Elephas maximus indicus: one gene and its partners. The protein of the gene in region 1 interacts with the protein of each later gene in a pairwise test. Links are inferred from orthologs where the notes say so. Each region holds a gene or a part of one and is shown on either strand. Other genes may lie near its edges. The genes, in order: CEP63, SMARCE1, HTT and integrator complex subunit 6-like.

The links.
Region 2: the proteins of CEP63 (region 1) and SMARCE1 interact in binary tests that used the Homo sapiens proteins (3 or more experiments, as listed by UniProt). The two-hybrid records come from large-scale screens. The link is inferred for Elephas maximus indicus from reciprocal best matches to the Homo sapiens genes CEP63 and SMARCE1.
Region 3: the proteins of CEP63 (region 1) and HTT interact in binary tests that used the Homo sapiens proteins (3 or more experiments, as listed by UniProt). The link is inferred for Elephas maximus indicus from reciprocal best matches to the Homo sapiens genes CEP63 and HTT.
Region 4: the proteins of CEP63 (region 1) and integrator complex subunit 6-like interact in a two-hybrid assay, tested with the Homo sapiens proteins (2 studies listed by BioGRID and IntAct). The link is inferred for Elephas maximus indicus from reciprocal best matches to the Homo sapiens genes CEP63 and INTS6L.

What each region holds. Positions count from the first base shown.
Region 1 is NC_064844.1:45,036,909-45,043,814, forward strand, and holds the start of CEP63 (centrosomal protein of 63 kDa), read right to left. Parts: upstream 3,020-6,906; 5' UTR 1,422-3,019; coding exon 1,291-1,421; intron 1-1,290. UniProt on the Homo sapiens protein: Required for normal spindle assembly.
Region 2 is NC_064837.1:47,751,757-47,758,628, reverse strand, and holds the start of SMARCE1 (SWI/SNF-related matrix-associated actin-dependent regulator of chromatin subfamily E member 1), read left to right. Parts: upstream 1-3,847; 5' UTR 3,848-3,902; coding exon 3,903-4,029; intron 4,030-5,985; exon of another isoform or gene 5,986-6,031; coding exon of another isoform or gene 6,032-6,038; intron 6,039-6,211; coding exon 6,212-6,255; intron 6,256-6,872. UniProt on the Homo sapiens protein: Involved in transcriptional activation and repression of select genes by chromatin remodeling (alteration of DNA-nucleosome topology).
Region 3 is NC_064823.1:162,026,942-162,034,261, reverse strand, and holds the start of HTT (huntingtin), read right to left. Parts: upstream 3,017-7,320; 5' UTR 2,852-3,016; coding exon 2,661-2,851; intron 1-2,660.
Region 4 is NC_064846.1:20,183,401-20,190,643, reverse strand, and holds the start of integrator complex subunit 6-like, read left to right. Parts: upstream 1-4,240; coding exon 4,241-4,351; coding exon of another isoform or gene 4,352-4,477; coding exon 4,478-4,555; intron 4,556-7,243.

The DNA of each region.
Region 1 (6,906 bases):
ACATGAGTCAGGTACTGACTCGGTGGCAGTTAAAAAACATAATGGCAAGACATACAGGTGAAAAAAGCAAGATGCAAGAGTACATGTAAGTACTATCTTTTATATATATTTGCTTCTAGGTATATTTGTTTTTTATGGAAAGATAAGCCTAAAACTGCTAAAAATGATTACTCACAGGAGGGAAAACAAGTAGGGTGGAGGCAACAAGGATGAAAGCTATACTTCTCTGGATGTACCTTATTTTACAGGGACTTGTTTTTTGTTTTATAGGAAGGTCCCCAAATGGCACAAACAGTATGTACTCGACTGCTAGCCTAAAGGTTGGTGGTCCAACCCACCTAACAGCACCACAGAAGAAAAGCCCTGCAATCTGCTTTCATGCAGATTACAGGCAACAAAAACCCTATGGAACAGTTCTATTCTGTAACACAGGGGGCTGCCATTAGCTGGAACCCACGAGGTGGCAAGAGTTTTTTTTTTTTTTTTTTGGTTTGTTTTATAGGAGCTACATTAATGCTTTACATATAACAAAACCAATCAAAATTTTTAAAAAGCAATACTGAAAGGCTGGAAACAAAATGAAATAAGTGAATCAACTAAATATCAAGTTGGCAGCCTGCCATTTAAATTATTTCATATGCCTTTAATAAAATAATTTTATTGCACATATCCCTAGTGGAGTAAAAACTAAGGATAAAAAAGAACTGCAAAGAAATCCTAAACACCACTTGGGAATTATATGAATAATAATATAATTATATGAATTATATGAATATGAATAATAACAATAATTGGTATTGTTAATTTGAAACCATTACATAATTATAGGATAAGGCAAAAAAGAAATATTTAATGACATTAGGTACCAAGATTTTCAGCAAGAGAAAAAGATACAAATATAAAATCAAACACATGATTTAAAAAAAAAATCTATAATATTAAACTGGAAATGTCATTGTGAACTCTGTACATTTCTCTTTTAGCTCTGGCTACTGTAAATCGTAGAACCAATGACCACCTAAAAGGAACCAGGGCTCCTTGGAGGCCAGAAATGTATAGATGACCAGGAATATGTTTTACTAGGAAGCAAGAAAATTATCAGAGACTACTGGAGTCATGTCAAAAAGAACAAGAGCCAACTTAAAAGGACTTCTGCTAGTTAAAGATAGTACAATTTGACTATCAAAGAAAAGAACAATGATTCCAATAGGTCAAAACAGTTAAAATATATTCAAATCTATGAGTATATGATGATAAAAAATTAAAAAAAGCAAAAACCTGCATGGTTACCTTTGGAAGTTGCTAGGGCACCGACTCATTACTGTAGTCTGAAAATAGAGGGAAAGAGGTAAGCATTTTTCTCGCCTTTCCTGTACAAACTGTATGTCAGGATAATCAAATAGCTGATGAGGGAAAGTCATCCTTCATAAAAGATTTCCACCTAATAAATACAGAAATAATGAAAAAATTGCAAAATCACCATTTTGCAAACCCTAATGCAATAATTTGGTGGCGTAGCGGTTAAGTGCTATGGCTGCTAACCAAAAGGTCGGCAGTTTGAATCCGCCAGGCATTCCCTGGAAACTCTGATGGGGCAGTTGTACCCTGTCCTGTAGGGTCACCATCAGTCGAAATCGACTCGATGGCAACAGGTTTGGTTTTTTTTTTAATGCAATAATAATAGGATCAGACAGTGTTTTGTTCTGTTGTACATAGGGTCGCTATGAGTTAGAAGGACTGGATGGCACCTAACAACAACAATGCAATGATTAGGAGCCCTAGCGGTGCGTTGGTTAAATGCTCGGCTACTTACTGAAGGGCCTGCAGTTTGAACCCACCAACTACTCCATGGAAGAAAGATGTGGCAGTCTGCTTCTGTAAAGATTACAGCCTTGGAAGCCCTATGGGGCAGTTCTACTCTGTCCTATAGGATTACTATGAGTCAGAATCAACTTGACAGAAAATACCGCAATAATGGATACAGTAAATCTAACCCACAAAAGTATTTTACCAACAGGTGAACCGCTCATAGGAGCTTTTATGATGAATGGATTGGGCTAACAACACCTGAACCCACTGTTCACAAAAAGAGACCACTCAGACACTACCTGCCCCCCGACAATGATACAATAGCAAGTACACTGCAGCACCTATAAAATATTCTTGCCCCCACTCATCAAAAAAAGAAAAAAATCAAGGGTGAATATGATCAAGCTTATAGGTAAGTGCTCTTCAACAGAGCTTTATGCAATTACGGAAATTATGGGCGACTGGGCTTAAAATGTGGCTAATGCAGCTAATGAAATAAATTTTTAATTTTAATTAATCTAAATAGCCACAGTTGGCTGGTGGTTACCATATTGGACAGTGCAGTTCTATATCTAATGGTTTAGCAGAAATAACAGAGGTACAAGTTAAAGGATACCACATAGCTACAACCAGCTAAATCTAGATGGCAATGAAAAAAGGGGAAAGAGAAAAGCAAATTACTAAGATTGTAACAGACTTAAAAAGTATATCAACCAAATGTAACATGTGGGTAGATCTTTACAAGACTTTCATCCAAACAAGCGAACTGTAAAGACATTTATGGGATGGTTGGTGAAATCTGAACCCTGCCTGGATATTGACATTATAGAATTATTAATTTTGTAGGTGTGATGACAGTATCATGGTTTTGTAAAACCGAAAAAAGAAACCTCTGTTCTTGGAGGGAAAAACCCGTAAGTAACATAAAAATCAGAAATTCAATTCCTGAAACCTTATGTCATAATTGGCTTTGGCAGAACAAGTCAACATTGGAAAAAAAAGGAATGATCTAATGAGAGAGTGGACTACTCACCATAAGGCTAAGGGCTTCTACCTCTTAAGTGGAGGAAAATGGCATCAGTACAATTAATATATATACTTATCACAAATTTTTTACATCTGAATTTACATCATTTTAAATGGCAGTGTCAATCCAAATGTTTATAAATCTCTAATCCATTTTAGTTTAAAGCCTTTTTTAAAATTATACCTATCTCTGATAATGACATAGTCAAAAGGCAAGCAGCAAGCAAGTTTGAGAAACAAATGGAAATTTATAAGAATGAATAATTTTTTCAAACCTTCTGAATTCAGGATAAAAATTAAAGACAGTATTGTATTCCACATAAGAAAAGATATACTTTTTATTGTATCATTAAGCTCTAGCTATTAAGTGTATGGAATCTCTGGGTGGTGCAAAGGTTAATGTGCTGGGTTGCTAACCGAAAGTTTGGAGGCTCAAGTCCATCCAGACGCACCTCAGAAAAAAGGCCTGGCAACCTGCTTCTGAAAAATAAACCATTGAAAATCCTGCAGAGAACAGTTCTACTCTGACACACATGAGGTCGCCATGGGTCGGGATGAACTGGATCATTTTTTTGTTTTGTTTTGGTTTAAGTATAAACGTAAATATTTGAAGGTAAAGTGTAGTTGATGATCATTATCATGATTTCCTCTTCATCTACAGCCTTGGTGGCACAGTGGTTAAGAGCTCAGCTGCTAACCAAAAGGTTTTAAGTTTGAAGCTCCTTGGAAACTGTGAGGCAGTTTTACTATCCTATATGGTCGCTGAGTTGGGATTGACTCCACCAAAATGGATTGTTTTTTTCTTCATCTCTATGAAATAAAAACTAAATGCTAACATGAGCATTTATAAGGACCTGTACAAATATGGGAATCTACAATATCGCTTTATTAAAGAAATAAAGTAGCTTTCTTTAAAAATCGGTTTAGGGAATCAGACGCAAAAACTAAGTGCTCAGGGGAAACTACTTTATGGAAGTGTACTGCACTGTTAATTACAAAAAAAGACTAGTCTCTGACAGCCTTATATTTCTCTCCTGATGTTACAGGGACACAAGAAAAACCCCATCACGAGCTAGATTTACTGTCTCTATTTTCAGGATTAAAGTGTTTCTAAGGAATCGCCGTTTTTAACCCACTCTTACGTGGTTCCCAGTCCTGACTTGCACGCATGGAGCAATCAGTTCAGGGTTCCCCAACTTCAGTCCTTCCCGAATTTTGCCACATCCTCGTACTTCCTGTACTAAATATTAGCATTTTTTAAACGAATTCGCTTTTTTAAAATTGTTAACCACCCAACCATTCATGAGCCGGTACTACCTGCAATAAATCAGCAACAATGCTAGAAAATTCTAACCAGATCCAGCAGCAGGGACAGATTGTCCAATAAACAAGGCACGCACGGGCTTACTTGTGCTTATTATTAATTTGTGCTTATTCACCTACGGGCCAGGTGAAATTGTGCACTCCAGAGAAGTAAACACAAGTGAACCCGTGTGTACCTTGCTTACCGGTCAATGCGCCCCTATCCAGCAGCCTAGGTAAGGGGTTGTGCTGAGGGACCAGCACCGTAAGGAGGAGAGCGCGCGGGAGCCTTTGCCACGAAGAGCGGACTGCCAGCGGCCCGCCCACCCGACTGCTCCCCGAAGCACCCCTCCCCGCCGCCGGGCTCCAGCAAGGCTGACCACCTGGCGGGCCCGGAACGCGCGCCAGGCGCCGCTACGTCCGCCTTCACAGGCCGGCAGGAAGCGCGCAGCATAGCCGAGGGGCGGGGGGCGGAGGGGCGCCGAGACGGGCTTGGCGGCTTGCGGGCGGCGGCGGCGGGGACCGGGCCATGCGGCCCCGCGGCCGGCGGCACCACTGCAGCCAGGTCGCCCTCCGAACGAGCCCGCCCCTCACCCGCTGCGCCAAGCGCACAGGCGGTTACCGGGGTACCGCGAGCGCGCCCCCGACCCTTCCCGCCGTTACCTCGGGCCGGGGACGCGCACGCGCGTCCCCACCAGCCCTACGTCCCGGCTCTGTCGTTAGCACGTTCGTTCCGCCCACTCCCCCCTCACTCTTCCTTGAAACAGTGTCCTTTCAGGACCTCCCCTCTGCGCGCGCAAATGGGCTCACCCACATCCGGGAACGCGCGAGAGGGGCGTGCTCGGCGGAAGCGAGGCCGCGGTGGGCTGGGTGCTGGGGAGAGCTTCCCGCGCTCCCGGCCCAGGTCTGGGGAGGGCGAGGAGGCCTTCGCTCTTTGTGTTGGGTCTCCTCCCCGTCTGCCGTTGGCCGAAGTCGGTGACCTTACCTCTCTCCCTGGGAGTTACCGCCCGCACCGCACGCCTCGTGGGGCGAAAAGGCGCGTCCGGGCGGCGGGGGACCCCCTCCCGGCCTCCGTATTCGGTCTGTGCAGCCCCAGGCCGGAAGCCGCGGCTGTGGAGCGGCCACACGCACAGGGGTGTAGACGGTGGTGACCCGCGAGGACGGTTCTGGCGAAGGAAAGATCGTTCTGCTTGATTCTGTAAATACGTTCTCAGGGCCGTGAAGGAGAGATGGGTAAAACGTGTCCGTGTTTCAGGGAACGCGCGCCGCCCTTCTGGGAAGACACGTAACGAGCCCGTAGTGTGGCCGCTCCATGCGCCGGGAGACGCTAGGACCCGCGGAGGGTTGGGCGTCGCGCTCTCCTCAGGCTGGGAGAAAACCGTCGGCAGGAGGCTTACCTGGAGCTGATCTTTTAGATGGAGGTTTAGCCGAGATGAGAGAAAAGAGCACCCCAGGCGTTAGGGCTAACACATGTGTAGGCACAAAGGCGTGGGAGAGAAAAGTTTGTTTAGTAAATTCCAAGTGTATTCGGTCGAGTGTGGTGAGTGCTTGGGACAGTGGCCGTGTCCTAATACCAAAAACCCACTGCCTCCAGTTCGCTCCGACTTACAGCGATTCTGTAGGATAGAGTAGAACTGCCCCATAGAGTTTCTAAGGCTGTAATCTTTAGGGAGCAGACCAAAACCAAACCCACTGCCGTCGAGTCGATTCCGACTCATAGGACCCTATAAGACCGAGTAGAGCTGCCCCATAGAGTTTCCAAGGAGCGCCTGGCAGATTCGAAGTGCCGACCCTTTGGTTAGCAGCCGTAGCACTTAACCACTACTAGGCATCCAGGGTTTCTTTAGGGAGCAGACTGCCACATTTTTCTCCCTAAGTGGCTTGTGGGTTCGTCATTGGTTTCAATGACGTTTGGGTTAGCAGCCGAGCACTTTAACCACTGTGGCACCAGGGCACCTTCCGCTTGTCTTAGACATGCTTATATTGATGCTTCCCACTTCTCCAGTCCATTAATCGTGAAGCCACCTAACCCCAGGAATGGGGTGTTGAATCCAGTGCCAGATTGGGGAAAAAAGTAGGAGTTAGTGATAGGGAAAGGGCGGCTATAAGTGCAAGGGCTGGGAGGTGTGACAGGATTGGAGGTGTTTGAGAGAGGAACAGGTGAAAAGCGATAGAAACAAAATTGGGGAAAGGTATGCCAAAGAGTCATTAATAACCAAATTTATATATATAACAATTGGAGATAATATTTTTTTAATCAGTGGGCCACAATGCTGCCCTGACTTGGTTAGTGGATCGTAATGACAAAAAGCAAGAACAGAAATTAACTAAAACTCTAGTGATTTCAGAAAATTTTAGGAATGGTGAAATCTGTGTGGGCCTGGAAAAATCTGCAGGTTTGAATCAGTGGAGAAAAGTGAGGGGGGCATGGGGGAAGGGAACAGAGCAGAAAGGACAAAGGGAGTGGTAGCAGGACAAAGGAGCGCCCTTGGAGGACAGCAACTCCACAGGTATAACTGGAACCGAAAGTGAAAAAGCCTTGTGTGTAAATTTCCTAAACACAGGCTCTTTCAACTTGATTGACATTGTCGGTATAGTGGAGTAATTCTTAAGTGAAATATTACGATCTTCCTAAACTAGTTTACTGGTGGCAAAGATAGCTGGGCACCTTTTGCTTCACAGTTTTGCCTGGATCCTTACAAGAGTAAAAAACTTGCCCTACCCCAACCTGTGTAATTATTGCCCCAGTGTTTGGGCTATTGTGCAGTT
Region 2 (6,872 bases), on another chromosome or scaffold:
TTTTTTAAATAAGAGCCATCGTAGTGGATATGAAGTAGTATACCTCATTGTGGTTTTGATTTGCAATTCCCTAATGACTAATGATGTTAAGCATCTTTTCATGTGGTTATTGGCCACTTATATCTTCGTTGGTTGTTGGTGAAATATCTGTTCAAGTCCTTTGCTCATTTTTTCATTGGACTGTTTGTCCTTTTACTGTTGAGTTGTAATTGCTTATATATTCTGAACATTAAACCCTTATCAGATATATGATTTCCAAATGTTTCCCATTCTATAGGTTGTCTTCTCACTTTCTTGATGTCTTTTTCTAATTTTTATTGTGCTTTAAGCGAAAGTTTACAGATCAAGTCAGTCTCTTACACAAAAACACATATATGCCTTGCTACACACTCCCAATTACTCTCCCCCAATAAGACAGCCTGCTCTCTCCCTCCGCTCTCTCTTTTCGTGTCCATTTCACCAGCTTCTAACCCCCTCCACCCTCTCATCTCCCCTCCAGGCAGGAGATGCCAACATAGTCTCAAGTGTCCACCTGATCCAAGAAGCTGTCTCCTCACCAGCATCCCTCTCCAACCCATTGTCCAGTCCAATCCATGTCTGAAGAGTTGGCTTCGGGAATGGTTCCTGTCCTGGGCCAACAGAAGGTCTGGGGGCCATGACCACCGGGGTCCTTCTAGTCTCAGTCAGACCATTAAGTCTGATCTTATGAGAATTTGGGGTCTGCATCCCACTGCTCTCCTGCTCCCTCAGGGGTTCTCTGTTGTGTTCCCTGTCAGGGAAGTCATCGGTTGTAGCCAGGCACCATCTAGTTCTTCTGGTCTCAGGCTGATGTAGTCTCTGGTTCATGTGGCCCTTTCTGTCTCTTGGGCTTGTAATGGCCTTGTGTCCTTGGTGTTCTTCATTCTCCTTTGATCCAGGTGGGTTGAGACCAATTGATGCATCTTATATGGCTGCTTGCTAGTGTTTAAGACCCCAGACGCCACTCTTCAAACTGGGATGCAGAATGTTTTCTTAATAGGTTTTATTATGCCAATTGACTTAGATGTCCCCTGAAACCATAGTCCCCAGACCCCTGCCCCTGCTACGCTGGCCTTCGAAGCATTCAGTTTATTCAGGAAACTTCTTTGCTTTTGGTTTAGCCTGATTGTGCTGACCTCCCCTGTATTGTGTGCTGTCTTTCCCTTCACCTAAAGTAGTTCTTATCTACTATCTAATCGGTGAATGCACCTCTCCCACCCTCCCTCCCTCCCCCTCTTGTAACCACAAAAGAATGTTTTCTTCTCAGTTTAAACTACTTCTCAAGTTCTTATAACAGTGGTCTTATACAATATTTGTCCCTTTGCAACTGACTAATTTTACTCAGCATAATGCCTTCCAGGTTCCTCCATGTTATGAAATGTTTCACAGATTCCTCACTGTTCTTTATTGATGCGTAGTATCTTCTTGATGTCTTTGGATGTGCAAAAGTTTTTTTATCTTGATCAAGTCCAACTTATCTATTCTTCTACTTTACTCTTTTATAGCTCATGCTTTTGTTATCATATCTAAGAATTCGCTGTCAAATACAAGGTCTTGAAGATTTACCCCTATGTTTCTTCTAAGAGTTCTATGGTTTTAGCACTCACAATTTGGACGTTGATCCCTTTTTGAGTTAATTTTTGAATATGGTAAGCGGCAGGGGTCCAACTTTATTCTTTTGCTTGTGGAAATCCATTTGTTGAGGAGATTATTCTTTTTTCATTGAAAAACAGACTTGCACTCTGTCAAAAATCATTTGGTCATGGATGCATGAGTTTATTTTTAGACTTTCAACTCTATTCCATTGGTCTATATGTCTACCCTTGAGCCAGTACCACATCATTTTGATTATTGTAGCTTTGTAGTAAGTTTTAAAATCAGGAAGTGTGAGTCCTCCTATTTTGTTCTACAAGTTGCAATTTTAAATAGGTCAGGAAAGACCTTCTGAGAAGTTGGCAGACTGAATAAAGACTAGAAGGAGGTAAGAAACCATACCAGTCAATGTCACTGCTTCACCTTTCCCTTTTCATCATTTTTGTGCCACAACTCTCCCATTACAGTGTGGTTTTCCTAATATCTTGTACCTGTGGTTTTTCTTCAGAGGACTGCCTGGAGATGACACAATAGACCACGTGTCCTTGCACACACTTGACCAATCCCCCGCCCCCCAACCATAACCCTAAAGGCAGTGCAGAAATCAGGCTAGAGTTGCTTGACAAAGCCAAAGAGGTACGGGATCCCTGAGGAGGCCTTCCTGTATTTCACATTAATCCTTTACATGTTTCTGATACTTTTATATTAAAACAACAATTTCATGTACATTATTTTAACCACCACTCGAACTGCCTGTTATCCTTTGGCAATCTTTCCTTTAATCTTTCCCATCAATATGCTCTTCAATTTCATTAATCCCCATTCACGAGTACAAAAATATTGACTTTGCCTCCTTGTAGAGATACCCCATTCCCTACTGGCACACCCAGGACGGCCGAAGAGCAGCCCAAAAATTCAGTCACTCTAAATGTCAACACTATTGTCATTTAGTTGTCAGCATAGTAATAACAAGTTAGGGATCTCATTTGTTCCTTCTTCCTCCAAAGTGACCCACAACATCAGCTAGGTGTTTACATATCCAAGGAAGGGGCCGCTCACTCCACATGGTAAACCTACTTACTCGTGATTATGATTTTGTGGGAAAAGCCCAGGACTAGTTAATAAATCCGCTTCAAAACACATTTATTATGCACCTAATAACGGATCAGAAACACTGGTGGCATAGTGGTTAAGTGCTACGGCCGCTAACCAGGAGGTCGGCGGTCAGATCTACCAGGCGCTCCTTGGAAACTCTACAGGGCAGTTCTACTCTGTCCTATAGGGTCGCTAAGAGTCAGAATCAACTCGAAAGTAACGGCTTTTAATAACGGATCAAGCAATATTGCACTGGTAATACAAAGACGATCGAAACAGAAGGCTGAATCTTTATTTTCAAGGCCCTCATAATGCATCGAAGTTGACAAACACAACCTGATACAATGGGCTGAGTACAGGACTACAGTAAAGAAGTTATCAAAGTGCCATGGGAGTAGAGAGGAAGGATTATTGGAGGGAGAGCCCAGGACGGCATGAGGAACAGCCATTTGAGCTGAATTGAGAAGAACAAATGAGTTTAAGCTGAAGTGAGGGGCAGTCGTTCCCTGCGGAGGGAACCAAATGAGCCAAGGCACGCTTTGGCACAGAGACCAGTGGCACCCCGCGCGCTGCGTCAAAGGGCTTAACATCTCTGGGTCTTGTCTCAGAAAACTAGCAATTACACCATAAAAGCGCTTGAAAACGAAAACTGAAAAACTCCGTGGAAATGAGAGGCAGCGCTTTTTCGTCAAGGCTAATGCCCGGACGTTATGGCAGGAAGACCCGAGAATGCCTGTGAGGACGTAAAACTCAGTCAACAGAGTCCTCTCCGGCTCCATCCTCGGCTTGCGTAAGTATATACTCTAGCCGAAGAAGCAAGAGAAAAGAAGAGCCTATGGAGTGAGCGCTACCTGAGCCCAGCCGGGTGGTTCCGGAGCCTCACGCCCCGTCGCGATTCCCGCGGTCCTCCGACTAAGCTGAAGCCACGTTCCCCGCCTCCTCTCAGTACGGCTTCGCACCGCCCGCCGCGTCACCCGACGTTGCAGACGCTTTGATTCCTCCCAGCAGCGAAATCCGGGCCTATCCCGCGGCCGAGCCGCCTCCGCCCTTTCCGTAGTGACGAATCGGCGCCTGGCTGGGAAAGTGCCCAAATTAGAGAACTTTTGAGGAACTGTGAAGCCTTTAAAAATCAGGAATTATACTAAACATCACCAAGCCCACTATGGAAGCTTTACTTCTGTAGAGAAAAGCGGGTGATGTCTGTAAGTAAATTACGAAGAAGTGTCGAAAGTGCGAGTACGGAAGCTCGGCGCGCGAGGGGCGGGGCGTGTGCGGGACAAAGGGAAGCGAAGCTGAAGCTGCGGGCGCTCTGCTTGCCCGCGGGTGAGTGTTTTGGAGCGGGCCCGACCGGGTTGGGAGGGTGGCGAGCTGTGATGTCCCCGCTTGGCTGGACCCCGACTTCCCAGGGGTTACCCGGGTTTAGGTTTGGCAGCGGAGCCAGAGGTGGGGCCGGTTGCGTCCACTCTGAGGCCTAGCGGTGTGAGGATTGGTAAGGAGTCCCGTCTGTGGGTTCTCCTCAGCGGCAGCATTTGCCCTGTCCAGTAGCCCTCAGGAATTGACCAGAGCACTTACGCATACACCCCTTTAGTTGAGTTGCTGGTAAAGTGCATTTTCCCCGACAAACAAAGGAAACGACTTCACAGGAAGCTCTCGGAGCAAACCGTGCCCCTGGTCCTCACTCCCAGGAGTGTGGTTCCTCTTGGTCCAGGCAACGACGTGGTAATTTACGGTGTGGCTTGGAGTGAAGAGCGAAGGCTCTGAAACAGTTTGGCCTGGGTTTGAAACCCAACTCGAGTACTTCCTGGCTGTGTGGCTTTTGACAAGTTACCTAAATTCCCTAAGAGTCCCTTTTTTTTTTTTTAATTTGTAAAATAGGGATAGCAATGAACGTTTCGTAAGGTAGTTGTAGCTATTAAACAGGAGAGCGTAGATGATAAGCTTATCCCTTATGAGGCATTCATTCAACAAATACTGAGTATTACGTGCCAGACCCTGGGATTGAATCCAGTGGCAAACAAATGTACAAGCCCACTCTTAAAATTTGTAGCCTAGTAGGGGAGATAAATAATTGCAAAGCATTAACAATAAAGTGATGTACAAGCAGTTTGTGGCAGTTGTCATTAGGGCTCCCCGGAACAAGGCCTACTGGGTGTTGACAGCTCCCTGAATGTGAGCAGGAGGGAAGTCTGGACCAATAGTTTCTGCCTGTTTTTTAAGGAAAGAGAGAGAGCCAGGAGGGGCCATTGATAGAATAAGCTATTTCCATCCACATCAGGCCTCTTATTTCTTGTACTCTAGGGAATTCCCCTAAAATGCAAACTAGGACCAAAAAATCATGTTTGTTTAATATAACGTTTGGATGAAAGTGCACCAGTAGACATAGAAGTTTATTTGCCTTTTTTTTCTAAAAATGAACTTTTCGTCTCTTTGTACTCTACTCTTTGCGATGTGTACTGACGTAAGGAACCAGCCCACATGTATATGGTTGTGTTGTGAGCTGGTAATCCCAAACAGCACATAATCTGGTCATATTGACAAATAAAAAGTGAGATAGAATAAACAATATCAGAGATTTATGTAAATTTGCCAGGAATACTGAGGAGGGTGCAATTAACTCTGCCCAGGTAACTTACTTGGAAGGCTCCATTGAGGAGTTAAATCTTGAAAATGGCTCTGAAGGACGAATAAGAGTTTTTCAGGTAGACTTTCAAAATTTATTCTCAGCAGTTATGAAGCTATTTGCCACTATGAGAGAATGCTACAGCTCATTATCATACCAATTACCTTTTGCACAGCCTCCAGGAATAAAATACAGTGCTATTTTATTGGAAGTTTGTTACCTAAGCAAAGGTAGAGCTCTGATAAGGAAGCTGTCAGTATCTGCTAGGCCTTGTTGGGGTGGGCCCAGATAATACATCACATTCTATTGTCATCTTTTTATCAGATTGTTTACATAGCATCAGCAAAATGTTTTCCATACAAAAGGTGGCTCAGTGTCATTAAAAAAAAAAAAAGCCTAAGGGTACATGTCTAATATTACTCTTAATGTCCCTAGTGATTTGCTTTAGTCATTTAACTCTGATCAACCAAATGATCAACAATAACTAGTAAAAACGATACACAAAAGGCTTGATTACTAGCAGATAAAGAGAACTAATTTTACTCTGAAATACCAATTAAACTACCCTATTTTTTAGGAAAACATTCTCTTATGCTTGCTGAGTTTTGATTCTCTTTTTTTTTTTCTTTTTCTTTTTTTTTCTTTTTTTTTTATTTTAGTGTCTCAGATTCATTCTTAAGGAACTGAGAACTTAAATCTTCCAAAATGTCAAGTAAGTTTCATTTTTATATTTATCAATCTATGTTAATAAGAGACTAATGCCCTAGCAAATGGGAATTCCAAAATACTCTCATTTTTTTCTTCAAAACAGGACCATTGGTAGTTTTGTTGCATAGTGTTATATCTCAGTTGTTTACAAGAAGTTATTTATTTTCTTTCAAACAGAAAGACCATCTTATGCCCCACCTCCCACCCCAGCTCCTGCAACAGTAAGTTTTAATTTTCTTGTTAATGTAATAGCCAAGTCTGGCCTTGATACAAAAACCCAGATGTCTTCCAGTGACAGTCACTCAATCAACACAACAACAGTATGAGAAAGTCAGCTAAAAAAACAGCACTTCCTACTAAATAGAAAAATAACTCTTTGCATCTTACCTGGAACCAACCCCAACATTTAAAGAAACATACTACCAAAATTCTGATCTCTTATGCTCACTTTTTTTCTTCTAAACGGGAAATAAGCGACAAGTTTAACACTTCTCCCTTATTAATCTTTATTATTAAGAGTCTTTAAAGTTGATATTGAGTGAATGCTCATTCTGGCTTTTTTTTTTTTTTAAAACCTAACCTTCAATTGGTTATATTTTTCTCTCCTCTTTTGTCTATACGTAATTTTCGTATTAAATCAAACAATAAAGCTTCTAGTTCTACAATAGCACTCATTGTAAATCTTTATTTTCAAGCTGTTCAAGTAATGATTTTATAATCTCTGGGTCAGATCCTGCTATTTTATTCCACTTTATGAATAATATCTTTTTGTTTTGGGAATTGATAAGTTTCAAAATGTCTAAAGAATGAATAGTTGTGAAGTAATTTTTTTCACCCA
Region 3 (7,320 bases), on another chromosome or scaffold:
TCAGCTGAAGCATCTAAACAGAAATGCCAAGATCCAAACTTGTGAGCAGCGAGTTTGTTAACTGAAAATTAATCACTATTCTCTTCAACAGCAAGATACATTAGAAGTAGGGTCTTTACTTACTTTATTTACAGTAATTATAACTAAACCCTATGGCAGCTGATTTCAGAGCATGCTAAGAGCCTTTAAGTTTCTATTCTAAAACACTTGCTTTAAGAAAATTTAAGGTCTAAACATTTTCACTGATTATATCTGCAAGGATACAGAAAAAACTTTAAGAGTAGTTGCCTTCGGGGATGATGTTAGGTACTTAGGAGAAAGGAGTGGGAGGGAGATATTTTAATTATTACCCTTTTGTAATTGTGGAATTTGTTAATCATCTTAATGTATTACTTATACAAAAATAATAGATTAGATTTTTAAAATAAATCAATCACACATTACCTTAAAATAATGAAACAAAATCTACCTACTTTGTCAAGCCAGCCTGAGAAGGAAACCTCTGTTACCCATATTTTGAAGATAAGCAAATTCATGTCCTGTCAAGTCAGCATAAGAAAGAGAAGGCGTCTGTTTAGACTGACCAAGTGTTTGAACAAGCCACCAGTGGACAACAGCGAGGTCTTCCTCCCCATCCCTCCCCATCGAGGACCCTGCCTAGTGCTTCCCGCTTTTACACAAGATACACACATATGCGGACGTGTGACTATAAATTATGTGCTGCAGAGATAAGCCAAACTGTCAAAAAGTTTCTCTGGATATTCAAACAGGTTTTAAGGAAAAAAATAATTTCTTTCTTTCTAAATTTTATTCTAACAATTAATCCAACATAACCTCCCTGAATCCTCATTATCTAATTAAACTCTCAGGACACACAGCAAAGATCATACAAGAAATATAAAGAACAAGTTACTAAAAATGAATCAGTCTTAACACAGTAAGACTCCTCAAGGGGCTGATTCCTGAAAACTCTTTCCTGTTGACTGCTATCTTGTACACACCAAGATCAGAAATAAAACACCTGGAGGTGAGAGAGAAGCTTGAACTGCAGCATGCTGTTGTTGTGTGCTGTATCACGAGGGCTCCTTGAAAATTGCAGCACCCATAACCCACTGCCCTCGAGTCAATTCAGACTCATAGTGACCCTGCGGGACTACTGGTCCACAGGGCTTCCAAGGGCGACCTTTTTTTGGCTTAGCAGCCGTAGCTTACTGTAGCTCTTAACCCCTACTGAACACTCAGCACAGACACTTCCAGGAAAAGCCCTTGAGTCCTATCAGAAGGTGCTATTAATGGTCTGAGAAGCTCTGCCGGCACAGTGCTTAAGGCTCTGCTGCTAACTCAGCGGTTGGCAGTTTGAACCCCCCAGCCGCTCTGAGGGAGAGAGACATGGCAGTTTGCTTCCGTAAAGATGTGCAGCCTTGGGAACCCTATGGGGCAGTTCTATGCTGTCCTATACTATGAGTCAGAATCTGATTCAACTGCCAATGGATTTGGGTTTATCAATGGTCTTTTTGTTTGAAAAATTCTCCCCAGGCACAGGCAGCGGAGATCCCTGCCTATCTAAGAGTAACAGAATGTCAGCAACGAAACAAAACAGCAGCTCGTTTACTGGCACCCCTGAGATGTCCCTGGGGTCCACACACACCCCACGTTTTAACAAGCTTGACTAGGATACTGGCAAAATGTACCCCTCATTCATCTCCCAGCAATCCGTCTCTCCCTGGGCAATGTGTCCTCCTTGTCCCCGAAGGAGACCATCAACTTTCCCTAATATTTAAGTCGGCTTTATTAGTTCCCACTGGTTAACGACAACCACCTAAGCAACTCATCTCTTCCTCCGCAATCGCGACTTGCTCAAATTCCTGCAGACCAACACCTGAGCTTACGTCGGCGGGTCTCTTACGTGACGCTTAAAAAAACGTTACTACCACTACGATTCATGAAGCAAATGCAATGCCTGGAGAATCTGGGAATACGGTCTCAAGTCACAGGCTGTTTAAAGTGCCACTTGGGAGAGCACTCTCCATTGGACGGCGTCCTCAGGCCCCTGCCCCCCCCAACCACTCCCGCCTAGACGTCCTAAACCATTATGTCATCCACTGTCCCCACATCACTCCAGCGCCAATTCCGGGCTCCCCTCGAGGTGCCCTGCGCCCCCAGCCCTCCTCCCTCTCGGACTAGCGGAGAGGAAGGGAAGCGGCCTGGAGGAAGCCAAACGGGACGTGGTCTCTAACTCCTCTAAGTTCCCTTCCTGACACACTTAAGACATCACCCCTACCCCCGTTTTTTGCAAATAAAAAGAAACAAGTTCTTTTCCTAACTCTCATCACCTAGGGAAGGCCAGAGCCTGGGGCCGTGACTTCCCTCGGTGGCTTCAGGAGGGGCCCCAGCGAGTCTCCACGTCCCCTCGCAGAAGGACGGAGACCCCAGAGAGGGGGCCCCGGGGGAGCAGGGGCTGCGGGCCCGCTGCCGGAGCTGGGCTCTCCCAGCAGGAGGGGGCAGGTGCCAACCTCCCGGGGGCTGCGAGGCCGCCACTCTCGCCGCGCGCGGGGCGGCCCAGACCGCAGGGACGCCGCTCCCCGAGCCGTCGCCCGAGGTCCCGCCCCGGGAAGAGAGGCTGCAGGGGCCCCGCGCTCCGAGCCGGGCCCGGCACTCACGGTCGGTGCAGCGGCTCCTCGGCCACGGCCGGGCCGGGCGGCGGCGGCGGGGGCGGGGGCGGCGGCGGCGGCTGCGTCTGCAGCTGAGGAGGCTGAGGCGGCGGAGGCTGCTGCTGTTGCTGCTGCTGCTGCTGCTGCTGGAAGGACTTGAGAGACTCGAAAGCCTTCATCAGCTTTTCCAGGGTCGCCATGGCGGCCTCCCGTCCGGCCGGGGCAACTCCCGGAGCCCTGGGCCCGACTCGCGGCGACGCGACGCCGCTCAGCAGCGGGGCAATGAATGGGGCCCGGGGCCGCAGCCAAAAGCGGAACCGGGGCGCTCGGCCATTTTAGAACTGTCCCGGCAGCCCCCGCGCCTCCCTACGTACCGAGACGCTCCGCGGCGGAGGCGGGGCCACGCCGGCTGGCGGGATTGACAGCCCGCGGCGACGGCTTCTGCCAATGGCCGGCCGAGGCGGCGGCCCGCCCACAGCGCCGCAGGCACGCAGCCTCGAGAGCTCCGGCCACGAGACCCAGCGCCGCGCCCCGCAAAGGCGCGGGGCGGGGCGTGCGGGAAGGGGCGGGGACGGGGCGGGGCGCGGCGGGCAGGGGGTGGGGGGAGGGGGCGGGGAGTGTTGGGAGGTGAATGGAGACAGGCGGCAGTGAATGAAGGAGGGAGGCGGAGCGCGGAGGAAAGGGCGGGACGAGAGAGAAAAAAACGAGGGGAGGGGGCGGGGCTAAGTCGGGGGGCGGGGCGCAACCAGGAGTACGGAACGTCGATGGGGCGGGGGCGGGGCCGGGGAGAGGGCGGGGCCGGGCTGGGGGGCGGGTCCGGTTGGGTAGGGGCGGGGCCGAGCCGGGGGCGGGGCATGGCTGAGGGCGGGAAGGACGGGGCCAGTCCGGGTAGGGGCTGGGCCGAGCCGGGGCGGGGCCTGTCTGGGGGCGGGGGTCAGGGCGGGGCAGAGCAGGGGCGGGGCCGGCTGGGGAGAGGGCGGGGCCGACTCGGGGGCGGGGCTTTCCGGAAGGGGCGGGCCCGGGCCCGGACGGAAGCAGACAGGAGACCAGCGGCCGGGGCGGTTCTGATCCGCCCTGACACGGCGCGGTCTGGCCGCCCGGCTCGCGAACAGGGGCTCCCGGACCGTGGCGCCGACCCTCTTGGGCGAAGCTCCAGCCCACGAGCGCCGTGCCGGGAGCCTGGCGAACGTGCGCCCTTTGCATCCTCAGCCGCCCGCCGTGGCTCCGAGAGGCAGCAGTGCTGCGGGTGGGAGCGGGCCGGGAGGGCGCCGGGGCACCGGGCTGCAGCTGCCCGTTCTCCGCTCGCCGGTTCCGGCTCTAGCTGCCGGACGAAGGTGGGACGAACGGGGCGTCGGAAAACAAACAATATTCTTAGGCAATGTTTAAGAAAATCGAAATTAATGCAAAAAACCCATCGGGAACAAAATATCCGAATACACAGTAGTGCCATTACTGAGTTTTCCCCTTGCCACGGGCTCCTGCATGGCCGGCCGGGGGCGCTGTTCCCCGGGCTCAGCCTCGCCGGCCGCTCTGCTCACCTGGGGAGCCGCCCCCTCGGCCCCGCGCAGGAAGGCGCCCCCGACGACTGGCGGCGCAGCGAGAGCGGCTGTGGCTGGGAGGTCCGTGCGCCCCACGTTGGCAGGTGATCGGCGCACTCGCTGGCCAGGCCCCGGTCATTCCCCTGCCGGGAGGAACGGGGAACAGCTGCATAGAAAACTGATTATGGTCGGTGGCTACTGAGGACCCGAGAGATCTGCCTTTCAGGGGTGAGGAGCCCAGGTGCCCCCCGTCCCCTAAAGCAGAGGCCCTGGCAGGGCAGGCGCCACAGCAGCTGGGCACCTTCCAGGACTCCCACCATGGGCGGAAGGAGGGGAGAGCGGGCCTGCAGCAGGTACAGGTGGGTAAAGTGGTAAAGCTACTCAGTCAACGGTGCTGCTCAGAGGCTGTGGCTGGTGCAGTGAGAAGCCCCTGGAACAGGTATATCAGGGCACCGCAGAGATGCCCCTACAGGAATGACCCCCACCCCCACCCAAGGGGCACCCCCTCCACAGCGGGTGGAGGTCGCTGCTCTCTCCAGTGTTGGTCTATGAGACACCTACTCATGCTGAGGGTGGTGATGGCTGGTGCTGGAGGGTCCTGGCTCCAGGGACTCCTTATCTCCTGGGGAGGTAGCTGAGCTTGCACAGGGAGGGAGTAGGAGGGCAGCTCTTCCCACCTGGCCACAGGGAGCCCCTCAGGGAGAGCAAGGTACAGCCAACCCAAGCCTTCACACTCAGATGCCTTCACACCTGCTCTCGGTGTTCCCTCTTCTGTGGCCACAAGCCACAGCCCCACCCTCTCCCAGAGCCTGTCAAGCATCCCAAAGTGTTCAGGTAAATGGAAACCCAGTAACAGGACAGGAAGCCTTGTTCCCAAGGGACAGCAATGGCCTCCCCTTCCTGGGGTAAGGACAGCAGAGAAACAAGAGGCCAAACTTCAGTCCCTGTTCCCTGAGACTAATAAAGGCCCTGTCCACTGTGTCAGGTGGGGTACCAGCTCCCACCCAGGGCAGGGCATGATGTGTTACTTGCTGGGGGAGGACGACTTCCAAGATAGCCTCAATGACCCCCAACTGCTAGGATTCACGCCCTTGTGTGCTCCCCTCCCATAAGTGCGGGCTGGACCTGGCAGTTACTGTTCCCCAATATGGCAAATGTGATAGGAGGTCACTCCGGCGATTTGGTCATGAAGATGGTGACTTCCATCTTGCTGGCACTCTATTACGTTCTCAGCTTGCACATTTTGATGAAGTAAGAGGCCATGTCGGAGAGGCCCAGGTGGCAAGGAACTGAGGGTGGCCTCCAGTCAACAGCCGATGGAGAAGTGAGTCCTGCCAACCCCACATGAGTTGGGAAGTGGATCCTTCCCATCGAGCTTCCAGGTGGGAAGCAGCATGTGAGAGACCAAGGAACAGAGGACCTGGTTAAGTGGTGCCCGGATCCCCAGCCCTCAGGAACATGAGACAATGCCTGTGTTGTTTAAGCCACCATGTCGGGGGTGATCTGTTACGGCAATAGATAAGTCAGACAGTTTCCTCCTAATAACTACTCTGACCTTCTTTAGTCATAAAAAACAGTAACAACAAAATAGTTGCCGTCAAAGTGGACTCTGACTCATGCTGACGCCACGCGTGTCAGAGCAGAAGCGTGCTCTAGCGGACTCTGACTCATGCTGACCCCACACGTGTCAGAGCAGAAGCGTGCTCTAGTGGACTCTGACTCATGCTGACCCCACGCGTGTCAGAGCAGAAGCATGCTCTACAGGGTTTTCAGTGGCTAATTTTTGCGAAGTAAGTTGACAGGCCTTCCTTCTGAGGAGCCTCTGAGTGGACCTGGACGTTTTGGTTAGCATCTGAGTACATAACTCTTTGAGCCACTCAGGGCCTCTCAACTTGTTGCCATTGCCGGCGAGGTGCTTCTGATTGAGAACAACCCTGTAGGACAGAGTAGAACTGCCTCCACAGGGATTCCAAAGCTGTAATCTATATGGAAACAGAACATCACATCTCTCCCCCGCGGAGTAGCTGGTGGGTTCGAACCTCTAAACTAGCAGCCAGGTGATCAACCACTACGCCACCAGGACTCCTTGCGGGGACTCCAGGACCTCGAGTTTTAGCTGAGCACTTTGACACTTAGCTAAAATACATTTCCCATTTTTCCTTTCAGCCATGTGACTAAATAAATTCCGCCAAGGAGATGAAAACAGAAGCAATGGGTGCTATTCTAGAAAGTCTCCGTAAAAGGGCGGGGTACACCCATCTTGAAGGGACCCCGGTAGCACAATGATTAAGCAGTCAGCTGCTAATCGAAAGGTCGGTGGTTCTAACCCATCAGCCGCTCCACAGGAGAAAAATGTGTCAGTCTGCTTCCATAAAGATTACAGCCTAGGAATCCTTATGGGGCAGTTCTACTCGGTCCTATAGGGTTGCTGTGAGTCGGAATCGACTTGACGGCAACCACCACCACCCATCTTGGAGTCCCTGGGTGGTGCAAACGTTGAACATGCTTGGCTGCTACCCAAAAGGCTGGAGGTTTGAGCTCACCCAGAAACACGTCAGAAGAAAGGCCTGGCGATCTACTTCCAAAAGATCACAGCCACTGAAAACTCTACAGCGCACTCTCTGCTCTCACACGCTGGGGGCGCCCATCTTCTCGCTGCCCAGGGATGAGGAGATATGGGTTGGCAACTGAGCAGCCACTTTTTTATTGTGCTTTAGATGAAGGTTTACAGAGCAAATTAATTTCTCATCAACCAACTATTACACATATTGTTTTGTGACGTTAGTTACCAACTTTGCAATGTGTCAGCACTGTCCCCTTCTCCACCCTGGGTTCCCCATTTCCATTCATCCAGCTTTTCTGTCCCCTTCTGCCTTCTCATCCTTGCCCCTAGGCTGGTGTGCCCACTTAGTCTCGTAGACATGGTTGAGCTACATGTATTACTGTTTGTTCTATGGGCCTGTCTAATCCTTGGCTGGTGAACTTCAGGAGTGACTTCGGTACAGAGTCATGTCCAGGGGCCATACTCTCAGGGTTTCTCCAGTCTCTGTCAGGCCAGTAGGTCTGATCTGTTTTTGTGAGTTAGAATTTTGTTCTACATTTTTCTCCAGCTCTGTCCAGAACCCTCTATT
Region 4 (7,243 bases), on another chromosome or scaffold:
GACAGGAGAGACAGCAGGCTTTGAAAGACAAAGTGAGCGGGGGGCCTCAGGAGGGCAAGTGACATATAGCTCCTCAGTCAACAAAGGAAAATATAGAACAGACCATGGGATTTGGCCAGGAGCAGGCCACTGGGGACCTCAGAGCAGTTTCCATGGAGTGCTGGGGAAACAAACCAGATTGCAGGCGCTTGAGGAAGAAGTGGGTGCTGGAGAAACCAGACAGTGAGCTTATACTCCCCTGGGAGCCATGAAAGGCTGGGGCTGGGAAGGGGTCGTGAGTAGGTTAAGTAAGGTCATTTTGTCAAGATGTGGTAATGAGGGTTCACTTACCGGCAAAAGATAGCAAATCTTTGGTGAGTGGCAAGTAGCTAAGCCCTGCCCCCTCCAAAGCAAAGCGTCTGCTGTCTGGTTGTGGGCTACATACATAAAATGTAAACATGGGGCCAAGTATGCTAACATTTGTTCTGAAGGGAATGAAGGCCTGGAGAGCGGTGCCTGGTAGGAATGCCTTCCTGAGATATGTCTTGTAGCCCCAGACCTGAGGTGGAAAGGTCTGGAATGGGGGAGTATGGTGAGGTATTAAAGAGAAATAAAAGCAGATAAAGAGCAGAGACATGAGGAAAGAGGAAAGTATTTTCAAGAATCCATGAGTTCAAAAAGCATGAGAAAACTGGAAAGACAGGATGGTTAGTGCAGGTCATAGTGCTGCAATGGAAAAAGAATTCCATCAACTGGCCAGTGGCCTGACAGTGGAAACAGGCCTGAAATTTGGGAGCAGCTGGGAAGAGGATTTAGCTGAGAGAGACAAACAGTGAGCAGTGGCTCAAAGAAGAGCTGCTTCACAAGGAAGCATGAATAGAACAAAAGGGGAGCTGCGTCAGCTCGGGAGGCGGGTATCAGGTCGAGGGCTTGGCCTGATGGCGGACTGGGGCCCAAACCTGGAAGGCCACAAGGATGGGGAGCTGGACCTCCCACTCCGCTTGGGTGGGAGCTGTCAGGCAGGGAGCAACAAGCAAGGCTGATGAACTGGAGGAGAGGAGCTACAGGCGATGTCTGAGCACCTGGGAAGACAATGAAAGGATGAAAGCCACAGCCTAGTCAACAATCTTGTTCAACAATCTTTTATTGAGCATGTACTTTGTATCAGGCGTAGGTTGTAGGCTCTGCCTGCTCTCAAGGAGTTTCCATTCTAGTATGAGAGACAAAGCCAAGCCATGAATAACCTATAACACAAGGTAGCTGATGTTTTACAGCAGAGAAAGATGTAGAAAAGGCTCTGGGGATTTTAGTGTTACTTGTGCCAAAAAAAAAAAAAAAAACCCTGTAATAAAGAGGTCTGCGCACACTCGGGCATAATACAGGGTCTACTTTCCTCCAGGAAACGAAGAAGAGAGGTTTTATGTTGAGGATCTGGGCTTTGGTTTAATTGGAATCAGTCTACAAATCGACTAAATGGTTATGGTTTATGTATACTGTCGCTTTTGTAGTTTCAAATGAGGCACGGATATTTTTCAGATTCTATATTTATATCATTACAATTCCATTTGAGTTATGCCAAAAAAGAGTCAATAACATGCCCTGATAAGAAAATAAATAAATACATAAAAAAGCATTCACCTGCATAGAGAGAGTATCTTTTCCCCAGAGGGCCATCCTGGAGGACCTGCATGTCCTTAACCACTGGGGCACTGCGTGACTGAAACCATTTGTGCTTCCCTAACGCTGATAAGAGTCCCTGGATGGTGCACCATTTAACATGCTTGGCTGCTAACGGAAAGTCTGGCAGTTCACGTCTACCCAGAGGTGCCTCAGAAAAAAAGCCTGGCCATCTACTTCCGAAAAATCAGCCACTGAAAACCCTGTGGAGATTAGACAGGAAGCTTAGGGGGCAGTGAGTTTATGTTAATGGGGGAGGACCAACTCAGAAAAGGAGGGTGGGAATGGTTGCACAACTCGAAGAATGTCATCAGTGTCACTGAATGGTACATGCAGAAACTGCTGAACTGGTATATGTTTTGCTGCATATATTTTCAACAACAACAAAAAAACCTATGGTGTGCAATTTGATTCTGACACATTTGGGGTCAGCATGAGTTGGGATCAACAACTGGCAGTGGTGGTGGAATACTGGTAAATTGTTTTTGAAAATTATTTTAGTAGTATTCACCTTGGAGGGTTTAAAAAAATCTATTATATATAATTTTTAACATGGCGTCTAGAAAGTAGAACTGCCCCCACAGGATTGCTAAAGCTATAAATCTTTATGGAAGCAGACTGCCACATCTTTCTCCCTTGGAGCAGCTCGTGGGTTTGAACTGCTGACCTTTTGGTTAGCAGCTGAACACTTTAACCACTGTGCCACCAGAGCTATACGTATGTGTAACATATGGAACAAAAAACAGAATGTGTGTGTTGTGTGTGTGTGTATGTGTATATATATATGTGTGTGTGTGTGTGTGTATATATATATGTATATGTATATATGGAAGAAGCCCTGGTAGGTACACAGTAGTTAAGCATTCTTCTGCTCACTGAAAGGTGGGTAGTTAGAACTCACCAGTGGCTCCACAGGAGAAAAGACCTGGCAATCTGCTCCCAGAAAGATTACAGCCTTGGAAACCCTATGGAGAAGTTCTACCCTGTCCTATATATATATAAACCCATTGCTGTAGAGTCGATTCTGACTCATAGTGATCCTATGGGACAGAGTAGGACTGCCCCCGTAGAGTTTCCAAGGAGCGGCTGGTGAATTCAAACCACCGATCTTTTGGTTAGCAGCCATAGGTCTCAACCACTGTGCCACCAGGGCTATATATATATATATATATATATATATATATATATATATATATATATATATATATACACACACACACACACATACACTGGGTATTTATGTGTACATATATTTATTGAATTTATTGAAGCCCAGGCTTACGTGTTGTACACAGCGTACTGCTAGGAATACACACCTCCATAATTAAAAACTGTGTTACATACAGCCAAGGAAGCGTATTCTGCCACTGACTGAGCATCTCGCCAGAGCCAGACCTGAGAGCATCCTTCATTGTTACCGTAACCTCGCTGGGCTGCAGATTCCTTTACTGAAAATTGAACACAATGCCATCTAGCGTACCCATTTCAAAGATTACATGAGGTTACTGTGGGTGCCTGACACTTCATAGGTGCTCAATAAATATGAGTTGAATCAGAATCTAGGTTGACAAACCTCCTGTGTGTAGACCCAGCAGCTAGTGGAATTATCACAGGCAGGCAGTACTTCAAAGCGCTCAATGAAACTGAAGAAGGCTGTGCATACAACAGGCTGGTTTAGGCAACTGTGTTTAAACTTAAAAAAGTTTCCTTCCTAAGTAGATATATGTGGAATGTGAGGCCAGCAGCAGACTACAAATACTGATGGGGGCAGGGGTGGGAACTAAAGGAATGCGAGTGAGTAGGTCTTGCCAGGAAAGAAGTTTGCAGCTTCTGAAATGTTTTGATCTTAGCCACTGGCACGACTGATCATCGAGTGCAGTTAGCAAAGCGTTTTCTGTGCAGCCTGTGCAACCATCTGCTTCTGTACTTGTGTACAACTGTTGCTCAAACTCTCTCTTCCTTTCGCACCATCATCTTTGAAGAGCAAGAGAAATTCCATCCCAAATACCCGAATTAATCATCGTAACAGCTTCCAAGTCCTATAAAGGAGTATCCTAGCGAGGGTCCTTAACTTTTCCCCTTACCTCCTGCCTAGGTTCAAACTTCAACTCCCAGGGTTCGCCCAAGTCCCTCCCCTTGTTCTGTCATCTAATGAATATGCAAATCTCACATAATTGGCAGCCAATGGCGCGGGTCCTGGTCACATGGTGCCCATGGTAGGTGAGCGGACAGAAGTTGTGTGGCGGCGAACAGAGAGGGCTCTCAGTCTGGAGGAGCACTCGAGTGAGCGAGGACGGATGCTCGGGCAGTGGTCCTGGCAGCGGCGGTGGCGGCAGTAGTGGTGGCAGGAGAGAGGAAGGGGGAGGGCCCCAGGGCTACACAAGCTTCCACTCTCAAGTTCCCTGGGAGGGAGGGGACAGTGGGGCTGCAGAGAACGGCAGCAGTCCCATCTGCCCCGGACCGTCTCCCCCTCTGCTTCTTGCTCCCTGGCTCGGCGAGAGTTGAGGGCTTGGGTCGTGCAGCAGGGCAGTGAGGACCAGAGGGCCAGGCGAGCGGGGAGCCGGAGCCAGGGGTGCCAAGGAAGATGCCCATCCTGCTCTTCCTCATAGACACGTCCGCCTCTATGAACCAGCGCACTGACCTGGGCACCTCCTATCTGGACGTTGCCAAAGGCGCTGTGGAGTTATTCCTGAAGGTAAAGGGAGGGGAGGGGAGAGGCAGGGAGAGCCCCCAGGGATGGGTCGGATTCAGGTGCTTCTGTAACGTCCGTGTCGCCCCCTCCCTCTTCCCTGCGCTGCCCTCCGTCATCTCTGCTCCGCAGCTGCGCGCCCGCGACCCGGCCAGTCGCGGAGACAGGTACATGCTGGTCACCTACGATGAGCCCCCGTACTGCATCAAGGTAAAGGGGCCCTCTGGGTGGGTGGGCGCGGAGGGGGCAGGTCGGCGGGGCAGCTTACCCCCGTCCCCCGCCCGCGGCGGTCCTGCGTCGCCCGGGGGCCGCGGGGGCGCGCCCAGGGCGGGCGGAGCGGCGCCGGCTTCCGAGTCGCGGCGGCGCGGGTGGGGTGGGGCCGGGTGGGCGGCCCCGCGGGGAAGCCGCAGGCGGGCCGGGTTAGGAGCAGCGGTGAGCGCCGCAGCCGCGGAAGATGGCGGACATTTTGCTTTTGTATGAGGCGGCGAGAGGAAGACTGAGGACGGTGCTGAGAGGGAGGGAGGGAAGGAGGCGGGAGGGAGGGCGGCGGCGAGGCGGCCCAGCCCCGGGCGCGCTCCGCACGCGCTGCGCCCAGGGGCGGGACTAGCGCGCGGCTCCGCCCCTGGCGGCTGGTGGCGCTGCGCGCGGGCTTTCCAGGGGCCTTAGCTCCGCCCCCGCCCCGCCCCGCCCCTGCCTCCCCTCCTCCGCCACCTCCCGCTCTTCTCGGCTTCTTAGTCTCCTTCTCCCCCCTTCCTCCTGCTCCCTCCTCTTCCTGCTGAGAGCGTGGCAGCCGGGCCACCGGCCTTCACCAAGGCTGCTTTTTCACTTCTGTCGCCTCCAGCCCACCCCCACCCAATGGCAATTCTGTCCGCCCTGCAAGCCTCCCCACGCCCAGACCCGGAGAAACGCCTTCCGTTGCTTCTCTGGAATTTGTCCAGTTACCCTAGTTACTGCTACTGTTTCATTGGCGATTCCAGCGGAGCCACGATGGGGTGGGGGCGGGATGCCAGTCAGAATCCACCCGGACTGAGCATTTTAGGGACCTGGCCTACCTACTTATATCGTAATGGAGTTTGTGTTAGCCACGTGGGGGGTTGTCCTGGGAAAAAGAAAGAGAGGGAGGGTTGGACTGTGCACAGTTCTTACTGGCACATTCCATGATTTGCTTCCCAGGGTTCTGACCTGCAGGAGAAAAGTAGGGGGGACTTCACTTCTGTGGGGTCGTTAACAATTTATGTTCCTATAGTGAGGAGATGAATGGCTTTGCCTGTGGTGGCCAGGTCAAATAGAGCGCAAATAAGATCAACCTGGCATCAGAGTCCTGCTTGAATGTTTGAACTTTAAAAATATTACTACCATAATCCTTGACGCCCTTTGCTAGGCATGTTTTTTTCTCAGAATTATCTTAATAGTGCTGAGGGGGCGCAGTCTGGATGTGTTGTAAGCCGCTTCAGCAGAATGAGGTGTTTTAATGATTGGAATCTGCCAAACTGAAGAGTTGGCCTTAGAGAGTGTTCCTTCAGAAAGAAGACTCAAGGGAGGTTAATTTTGTAACGTGTGGCTTCGGTTAACAGTTTGATTAATACGTTCCTCCTTAAAAGTGTTCTGGCTTCATTGCATTGTTACCGGTTTTTAATTTTTCTATTTAGAAAAATGGGAGTAAAAGTGACATCTTCCAAAATTCCATAAGCCTTTAAAAATGTCAGTTTTCCCCAAGGGTGTGACCATTTTTTTTCCCCGCATAGAAGAGCAGATGTTTGCATGTCCTAAGTCTGAAGGTCTACACCCTTTGACTACTAGCACAGATAAGAACCCACCATTTCTAGTGTGGATAATTGAAGTCTTGCTCTTTGATTTTAAGTAGTAAAAAGAATAAACTACAAAGAAGTGTGCCTTTCTTTTTTCTTTAAAGCAACAACTATTTAACATTTTCTGAGTGCCCAGATTGTAGATGGGCTTTTTTCTTTCTTTAAAAATACTTTTATTCTATAAAACTTAAATGGCAATATTTGCAGAATCCTTGAAAAAGAAGTCTCACCTCACTTTAATAACCACTGTCAAAGCTTCTTTTTACATGGCATCATAATCACACACACAAAAAATAAACTGTACATTTTACTTTGTATTCTGCTTTTTCCACCTATTTTATCCTATGAATTTTTCTGGGTTGCCACATAGTCTTCATACTTAAAATTTTTACTGTGTAAGTTATCTATGGTATTTTAAAGGCTCCAGATCATTCTATGAGCAGAGGGGGAAAAGCTGGGTTTTGTTTTTAGTGCAAATTTCATCCATTAACTTTTTATCTTGTCATTTTTTTTTTTATCTTATCTACTACATTTGTTAAAGCAAAAAAATTCTTCCAAATTGAATTTGATTTTTTTTCATATGTAGGTCAGACATGGGAAGATACTTTGCATAATGGTTTTATCATTAATAATCAGTTATCTTTGTAGTCTATGCTTTTCCAAGGTTATTCAGGTTTTTCATTTTAATCTTATATGATAACTACATGTACTAGGAAATGGTTTATGATTTTCATTATGTTCTTGTCATTTTGCTAATGGTAGGCCATGTTTCCGGAACATTTTCTTTTTCTGAGGCTCTTTTGACCGCTCCCCCCTGCTCACCCCCACCCCTCCCCGCAGCATGTGGTAACTATTTGTTCTTTTACATTTGGGGTCTAGCTAGTTTGGAAGGTTTGAAATTTTAGAACATCTGGTGAATTTTTCTTAAAACTTAGTCTAGTCTTTCACTTACTAATAGCTTGGAGCCATAAATGTCTGTTTTCTGTCACACTGGTTATCAGATAGGTCTTTCTTCAATTGTCAGCAGGCGTCTTAGTTCCCACTTAAAACTTCACTCTTTATTAGGATTCTGAGGTCCTTCCATCAGTGA